Linked DNA regions of Caenorhabditis elegans. The protein of the gene in region 2 purifies or fractionates together with the protein of the main gene of each other region. This does not show direct contact. Each region holds a gene or a part of one and is shown on either strand. Other genes may lie near its edges.

Evidence for each region.
Region 1: the proteins of tads-1 (region 2) and srsx-3 fractionate together in Caenorhabditis elegans (co-fractionation; one large-scale study listed by BioGRID). This does not show direct contact.

The regions. Positions count from the first base shown.
Region 1 is NC_003283.11:7,935,623-7,938,864, reverse strand, and holds srsx-3 (G-protein coupled receptors family 1 profile domain-containing protein), read left to right. Parts: upstream 1-1,612; coding exon 1,613-1,748; intron 1,749-1,839; coding exon 1,840-2,047; intron 2,048-2,091; coding exon 2,092-2,330; intron 2,331-2,371; coding exon 2,372-2,721; downstream 2,722-3,242. Other genes in the region: srt-53 (Serpentine Receptor, class T), read left to right, coding at 36-260.
Region 2 is NC_003279.8:13,383,132-13,387,640, forward strand, and holds tads-1 (Replication termination factor 2), read left to right. Parts: upstream 1-1,620; 5' UTR 1,621-1,702; coding exon 1,703-1,734; intron 1,735-1,981; coding exon 1,982-2,649; intron 2,650-3,617; coding exon 3,618-3,820; 3' UTR 3,821-3,953; downstream 3,954-4,509. Other genes in the region: C01A2.6 (WWE domain-containing protein), read left to right, coding at 324-739, 892-960.

The sequences.
Region 1 (3,242 bases), on a different chromosome or scaffold from region 2:
GTTTCGTGTTTTATGTTCAATTAATTGTTTTGTAGGAAAATAAGTCATCAAATCTCATCCGAAAAAGTGGCGATCGGTTGATCCAGTTGGTACCAAATCAGAACCATAACGTTAACACTCTGGGAAACATTACAATGACGAAAAATTATGAAAGTGAATATCAAGTTAGACTACAGCTGATACGAGAGGCAAATAATGTGGAAGTGAAGCATCAGAAAATTAATAACTATAATAATAATAATAAAAAAGATCCCGAGTAATAATCGTTAACTGTATTGAAAAAAAGCAGGAAGACATGAACGGGCTTACACTCACTGGTATAAAAACTGAATAAATTGTTGACGCTTTTTGTATGAACCTTGTTTATGTGATGATGCAAAAAATCTGATACGATAACAATTTTATATTAACAAATTAATAGAAACATGCTAATCGTGTTTTTTTCAACCGCTCTTGAAAAATTGAATAGAAAATTTGAACTGAATGCTTGGATTTTTTAATTCACAAAATGTTTAGAGCTTATATACTATTGGAATACTGTAGACTAAGCCTAAAAAACTAGTCTCATATCTTCTATTAGAGTATTACGTACTTAATGACGAGCAGTACTGCAGAAATTTTAATGAATTCATGATATATTTTTGGGTAAAAGTGGATTGAAAAGTTGACCAATTACCGAGTACTATATATTTTCTTTTATGTTACCCAAACTGATCCCCCAAACTTCTCCAACAACTTATCAGGTCGAGAAAGCTATTGCATATTCTGATTTCACGTCAGCTCCTAAAAAACCTAACGCACATTTTATATAGGGAATTACAAGTTTCTAGTTCAAATAATCATGTTGTGAAGTTACGAAATTTGAAATAGTCTCAAATTAACATGAAATAGTCTCAAATTAACATGAACCTGCATGAAAATACTCCATGCATCACCGTGAGAAAACACAACCAATTTGGACTCATTGTTGATAGAGTTACGTGTCGATTTAGAATAGTCCGTGCACCCGTGAAATTATTGTGCACTCAAACTTTACTTTACTCATTTTTCGTTTTTCATTTTTCAAATATCGAATTCATGTGTGAGCTAGAATCAAAATATGCCTTGAAGATTCCCAATCTTATACAATTGAAGTGACAACGCGCATTCAAGCAGATCTCAGACTTTTGTTTTCCAAATCCCTTAACACAATACTAAAAGGAAGGTTTTAAATGAAGATTATTATATTTGTCTGGCGATTTTTTTTTATCAGACAATACAAAAGAGAATAGTTCCTATATAAAGTAGCAGAAATTTTTTTTTATTCGAACTCATCTCTAAGATTTTTGACTGCAAGACTCGTTATCGCGTAATTCAAGTAAGTTTTGAAAAATGCTCGTACGCAATTTTTCAATTGAAAGCGACATCATTCAATGAATACGTTAACAAATTTGATAATCGCGAGTTGTGTAGTCTATTCTTGACATTTCGTCACAACTTTTTACAAATATTACCATTTCAAATTGTCTAACAGAACAAATTTCGAATCGTTTTTAAACAAACGGTAAGACAAATTTCCGGGTATACGTGCTAAAAACTTGTTCTAAGACCATAAGAATACATATTTTTCGGAATGAGCTCGACTGTGGCAATGATTAACCAGATTTGTATCTCAACGGAAATCGTCGTTTTCAATGTTCTTGGACTGTTTGGAAATATCAATTTTCTATGTCTGACATACATCAAACCTGCATTACGATCTAAATCTTGTAAGTAATAAATATTTAAATAACAATAAAACGCCATTTTTACTTTCTTATTTTAAAGAGATTCTCATCTCGTGAAGTTCATAATTTTTAGATTATATCCAGTGTGCTCTAAGCGTATCCCACATATTTTGTCTGCTCTTCGAACTACCAAATGCCGTTCTTCTGTTCACTGGAATCCAGCTCAGACGCAACATTTGCTTTCCGGCAATATCGCTTTACATATTCTTTATCTGTGCTCAAGCTGTAATAATGCTCATGCTGGTCGTCGATCTTTTCATTATTGTCTTCTTCACCACTTTGTTTGTTTTTATGAACATGCTTCCTAAAACCGTTTTCTTTTCAGCTACCGTCGGATTGAAAACACAACTTACACGGCTATGATGTTATTCATACCTTTTGTCTATTCAGCATTCACAGTTGCGTGGGGTTTTGTGAAAATGGATGATGAATTGGTGATCTTCTGTAATCCACCGATCAGTCTTCATCCAGTTGTCAGTAGATGGTGGTCAATGTCTAATGTTGCTCTCAATTCAATCACTCTCTGCCTGTTTCTGTTCTTAATAATTACTTTTCATTTTAGAGGTATGTGAATTACCAGATCATGAGAAAAATCAATATTTCAGGAAAGAAACAAAAAAGCGACACAAGAAAACTGATGAAACGTTTGAAAGTTTCCGTGGTTGTATTCGTTTTCTCTTGGTACATGTGTACTCTCGGTGTCGATTTGTTTGTTGCAATCGGAATGACCGGATCTGTTCTTGTGTTTTTCCAAAGCAATATGGTTTTCTTCGCACTTCTCTGCTATACTCAACCATTTTATGTAATGCTCTGGAGATCATCCGAATATCGAATTGCGTTTGTAGAGATGTGGAGTTTCCTGGGATGTGTGAAAAGCATGAAATCAAAAGGATGGTTGGAAAAAACTTCAAAAGTTACAACTGCGGTCTCTGTGATGGATTCAAGCAAACAATAAAAACTTTACAATTTATTTACTTATTTACATAATTTCTAAAATCTGAATAAACCGGGCTCGATTTAATATTTTAAAAGCATTTTTTGAAAATTTCATCGATGGATGATTGAGCCAAACTGCAAAAGTTTTATCTATCTCTATAATGCACACAAATAAAAAATTGTAGTTTTTCAATTTATTAATATTTAAGTGTATATTACGTCCCATAATTTAAAAAAATAGTTCTCTTGCAAATATTTTTTGAGGGACATTCCTTGATCTTTTGTCTCTAAAAAATCTAATAATTCAGAACAAATAAAACATATTAATATTCGAAAATATACTCATTCTGTTATTATAAATTGAAGGACAACTCATTTCCATTGCTACAATTTTTGCTGTACAACTTTTCAGCCAATTTGTAGTTTATTGTGAAAAATTTAGTAATTCTAAATAATGCTGTATCGGCTGTAATGGAAAAATAACAAGAACAACAAAGCAGAAAGTGTGCTTTCATGCAGGTGTCTTTGTAATTTTTGTAA
Region 2 (4,509 bases):
AAACTCAAAAAAATGCCACGTGTCACGCAATGGTTAAGAATGAATTAATTCTTGGAACATGTTTTTTTGATTTTTTGTTGAAAAATCCACACCGTGACTATTAGGCTGAGAAATAGTTGCGAAAGTTGCTTACTTTATTCAATTTCATTCGACAGACTCGCTGGCGCTGGTCATTTAATGTGATAGTGGAGTTAGACATCAGGAAATATATATTGAGTTCTAGTTCAAAAATGCTGATAATGTTTCAAAAAGTAACAGCCTAGGAATTCAAGTAGAAGTATTCAGTCTCCAACTGTTTGAGATTAACATTTAAAACATTTCAGAAGCCACTACCTACGACAACAAAGACACTTCGTCAACCCGGCCGCTAATCTCCGACCACGTCGCTCCAGCCCCCGATAGCGCTTCAGGAGACGTCACGTCAAGAGATACGGAGCATCCTCCTCGCCAGAAGAAATATCTTTCCAGCACCTCAGATCTTGTGAAGCTGCCTCCAAGCAAGGCACAAATTCTTGAAGCTTGGGAAAATGGAGCCGAACCTTGGCAATCTACCTACTCGGAACGATTAGAGGACGAGAAGGACTTCTATTCTGTTTGCGTGTACGATACAAACCCACCCGACGATGAATGGCGCTGGAATGGAAGACTGGACTTCTCGCTTCACGCGGATCCCGATTTCATTCCACCATGGTGCACCGTGTGGACAAAGGAGCAGGAGGACGATCTTTTGAAGAAAGAGGTAAGAGTTATTTATTCTCCCGTAGATTCTTTGCAATTTTTTTTTTTGAAAAAAATATCATCTGAAAATCTAGAAAAACCAAATTACTTTTGGCAAGACTAATGGAGCTTTCTTTTTTAAAAAATATTTTTTTATAATCTGACGTTTTTCAGAGCGATGCCGAATGGGAAGTCCGCGAGCAGAAACGACTGCGCCAAGAGAGACGTGACAGGCTTCTATAAAGCATTAAACATATTATATTCCAGAGATTTTATTCACGTTTTGAATCAATCAACGTTATTCATTTTTCTACACTTGTTCTCGTCATTTTCCGGTTTCCATGTGGTCCCCCGTCTCTCCCATCCAGCTTTATTTATTTCGGTTTTAATTTAAAATTTCATAATTTCAACATAATTTCAAAATTCGATATCACATTTTCTTGTTGATCTAATTTGAACTGTTCACTAATACATTTTGTTTTAAATATAATACCGTGCGTGCGGAATAAATAATAGAAAACTTATTTGATTTTTTTAAAACTTGAGTTGTTAATGTGACTTTTGTTCATCGTAATTCGTTCCAAATTGCAAAGTGAAAAAAAATAAATGTATTGATATATCTTAAATAAACCAAGATATATGGCTCAGGGTAAATAGACATGGTGCATCGAATTAGTCTAATTTTATCTGAATTTTGTATAGTGTTGTTTTTTTTGAAAATTAAAACATTTATTCATTTGTTTTGTTGTTGATAAGTCCCTGAAATTAATTTTTTCTGTGTCTTAAACCGTCTTTTTTCTTCTTCAACAAAACTTATTAAAAATAAACGCTAAACCACTGTCTCCCGTGCGGAGGTATTGCGAAACCGCGCGCCGCACATTGCAAAAGTGGGCGGGGCGTCGTTTCGTCAGTTATTTCTTGCGTTTTCGCTCGGATATTTGTATTTTTCATCGATTTTTCTTGGAATTTTGGAGCACAAATCGCCATGGGAGCCGATGGAGGAACTATTCCAAAGCGGTAAGTGTCTGTTGTCAGGAAAAATGGGCAAAAACCCGAAAAATAAGGTTTTCAATAAAAATATGTGAATTTGTTTAAAAATATGCCTGAAAATGAGTAAAACCGTCTGAGCAAACTCATGCAATGGAGAAATAATTATGTATAATTTAGTTCAAAATATTTACACGTTTGAGTGGGAAAAAATCGGCTAGTTATCAGATTTTTTCCAACAAAAAAGTATATCTTTAAAAAAAATCGATAATTTCAGTTGCGAACTGGTCAAGGAGAGAAAGAAGAAGGAAAAGCTCGACAAACACGTGAAAAACGCCACAAAATGGAGAAACTGTCAACTAACACAGCTTCCACTGAAAAGACCAGTGATTGCTTGTCGATTTGGAAAGCTTTACAACAAGGAAGATGTGATCAACTCGATTTTGAGCAAAACTATCTCGAAATCAGCTTCAGCTTCTCATATCAAAGGCCCAAAGGATTTTGTAGAGCTTAAGCTCACTTTGAATAAAGATTTCAAGCGTGGAGATGTGAAAGGAGACGATTATAATGATGTGAATCAAACTGAATTCATTTGCCCAATCACAAATGTTCCAATGAACGGAATTCAAAGTTTCTTAGTTAATTGGCAGTGTGGATGTGTGTATTCAGAGAAAGCTCAACAAGAAGTTAAATCCTCAAATTGTCATGTTTGTGGAGGACCTTATGATGCCACAAAAATGGTGATTTTGAATCCGGAGCCGGAGCAATTAGAGCTCTACAAGCTGAAATGGGAGGCTGAGAAAGCTGAAAAAGCGGCGGCGAAGAAGGATAAAGCAAAGAAAACAGCTGAGAAGATGGAGGCTGCCGCTAGTTTGGCTGCTGGATCAGGAGGAGAAGCTTCAAGTGTTGCTCCAGGGCCAAGTGGCTCCGGAGTTGGAAAGCATGGTAAGTTTTGGAGAATATATCGAATTTCATGTAAAAAAAATCGTAAAAATGTCGGAGAAAAGCGAAAATCTGCAATTTTGCCGGTCGTAAATCTATTTTTGCAAATTTCGGTAGTTTATTCTCAGTCAAAACCGTTCATAATATACCCAGATTCAAACCCATTTAAAAAACCGTACAAGTCTATATTATGAAAAGTTCTAATTTTGGGCAGATGTAAACCAAGATTGTCTAGATCCAAACTTAATTTGCATAGATTGCAAGTTTGAGTAGATGTAAACCAAATTTGTGCAGATAAATTCACAATATAGGCTTGTACGGTTTCAATTTGGTTTAAATCTGAGTATATTCTGAACGGGTTTACTGAGTTACGTGATTTTTGTTGATCTATGATTGTTTTTAGGTGCAAAACTCCTAAAAATATACATAACTCAGTAAAACCACGGAATAAACGGAAGCTGAAATAGAATTCAAATGAATTTTCGACTGCTTCGATACGGAAACATGACTTTGAGATTTTATCCGAATTGAGTACGTATTCCAAATATTTTACAGGATTTTATCACTAAAAGACTCAAAAAATGGTCCCAAAAGGCTAAAATTCGAAAAAAAAACTTAAATTTCGCTAAATCCCCCTAATTTTGACACTTTTTCCATTACATCTGTCGGAAATTGATTTTTAGTTCATTTTTCACATTCTGGTCGTTTAATACGTGTTTTTGGTGGAAAATGTCTAAGTTTTTGGTGGAAAATGACACAAAAATTAAACATAAGCGTGAAGAAAAACTACTAAAATGCCTAAAATAGTGAAAAAAAAAACCATGTAAAAATGAGTTTCGAGCTTCTGAAAATTGGCGAAATTGGAGATTTTTCGCAATTTTCCGAGATGTAGATACGAAAACCGCCATAAAATTGTTAGAGAAATTCCGAAAAAAGTACCAAATTATACATTTAAACCCCTATTTTTTCAGTGGATCTCAAGAAAAAGCTGGAAATCGCAAAGCTCACCGGTGGCTCGACATCAGAAAAGAAAGCTGAAAAACGAAAAGCAAATACGGATATTCAATCGGATCCTACCACTTCAGACACTTATAAGAAGCTGTTTACAACATGTGAAGCTGCAAAAAATAAGACTGAAGGACATTGGGTCACTTATAATCCACTTTATTATTGATTTTTCTCACATTTTTTTTGCTCGAAATTTTAAATTTTCCGTTTTTCTTTTACCTTTTCTGTACATTTTGTACATTTACTCCATGATTTTTGTTCAATTTCTCGCTAATAATAATCATTCCAAGAATTTTTGATTTTTTTTTGTGTTCAGTTTCAAAGCATTTACTTGGTTTTAACCGCAATTGTCTTTATTTCTGCTTAAATTTCCATTTTTTAGATCGAAAATTAAATTAAAAACTGGAAATTTCTGAAAACTCTAGTTATTTGAAAGATTTTTCGCAAAATTTTCAGATTTTCAGCAATTTTTTCTACCCATGTGTGGATATACGCAGTTCGTGTACTCCCCGTGGAGAACTTTTCCGAGTTTTCAGTTAAAATGCTTGATGTTTGACCATTTATTTTCGCCTATTTTTTTCAGGTTTTGCATTAAAATCGGTATTTTATCCCTATTTTTTTTAATCTTTTATGTGGAAAATCGATTGTTCTTCTGCTGGAAAACTATAGAAATTAAGAATTCCTTGTTTTCAAGAGTTAATAAATTAATTTACATTTAAAATACTATGAATTAACGATTTTAACCTTAATCTCAAAAAAAATCAGCGGGAATTGTTCAAAAATTGAGGAATTTCAGTCAGAAGTTGTGAAATCTTCTCCTCGTGGAGTACACAAGCATAGTAAATCGACACGTGG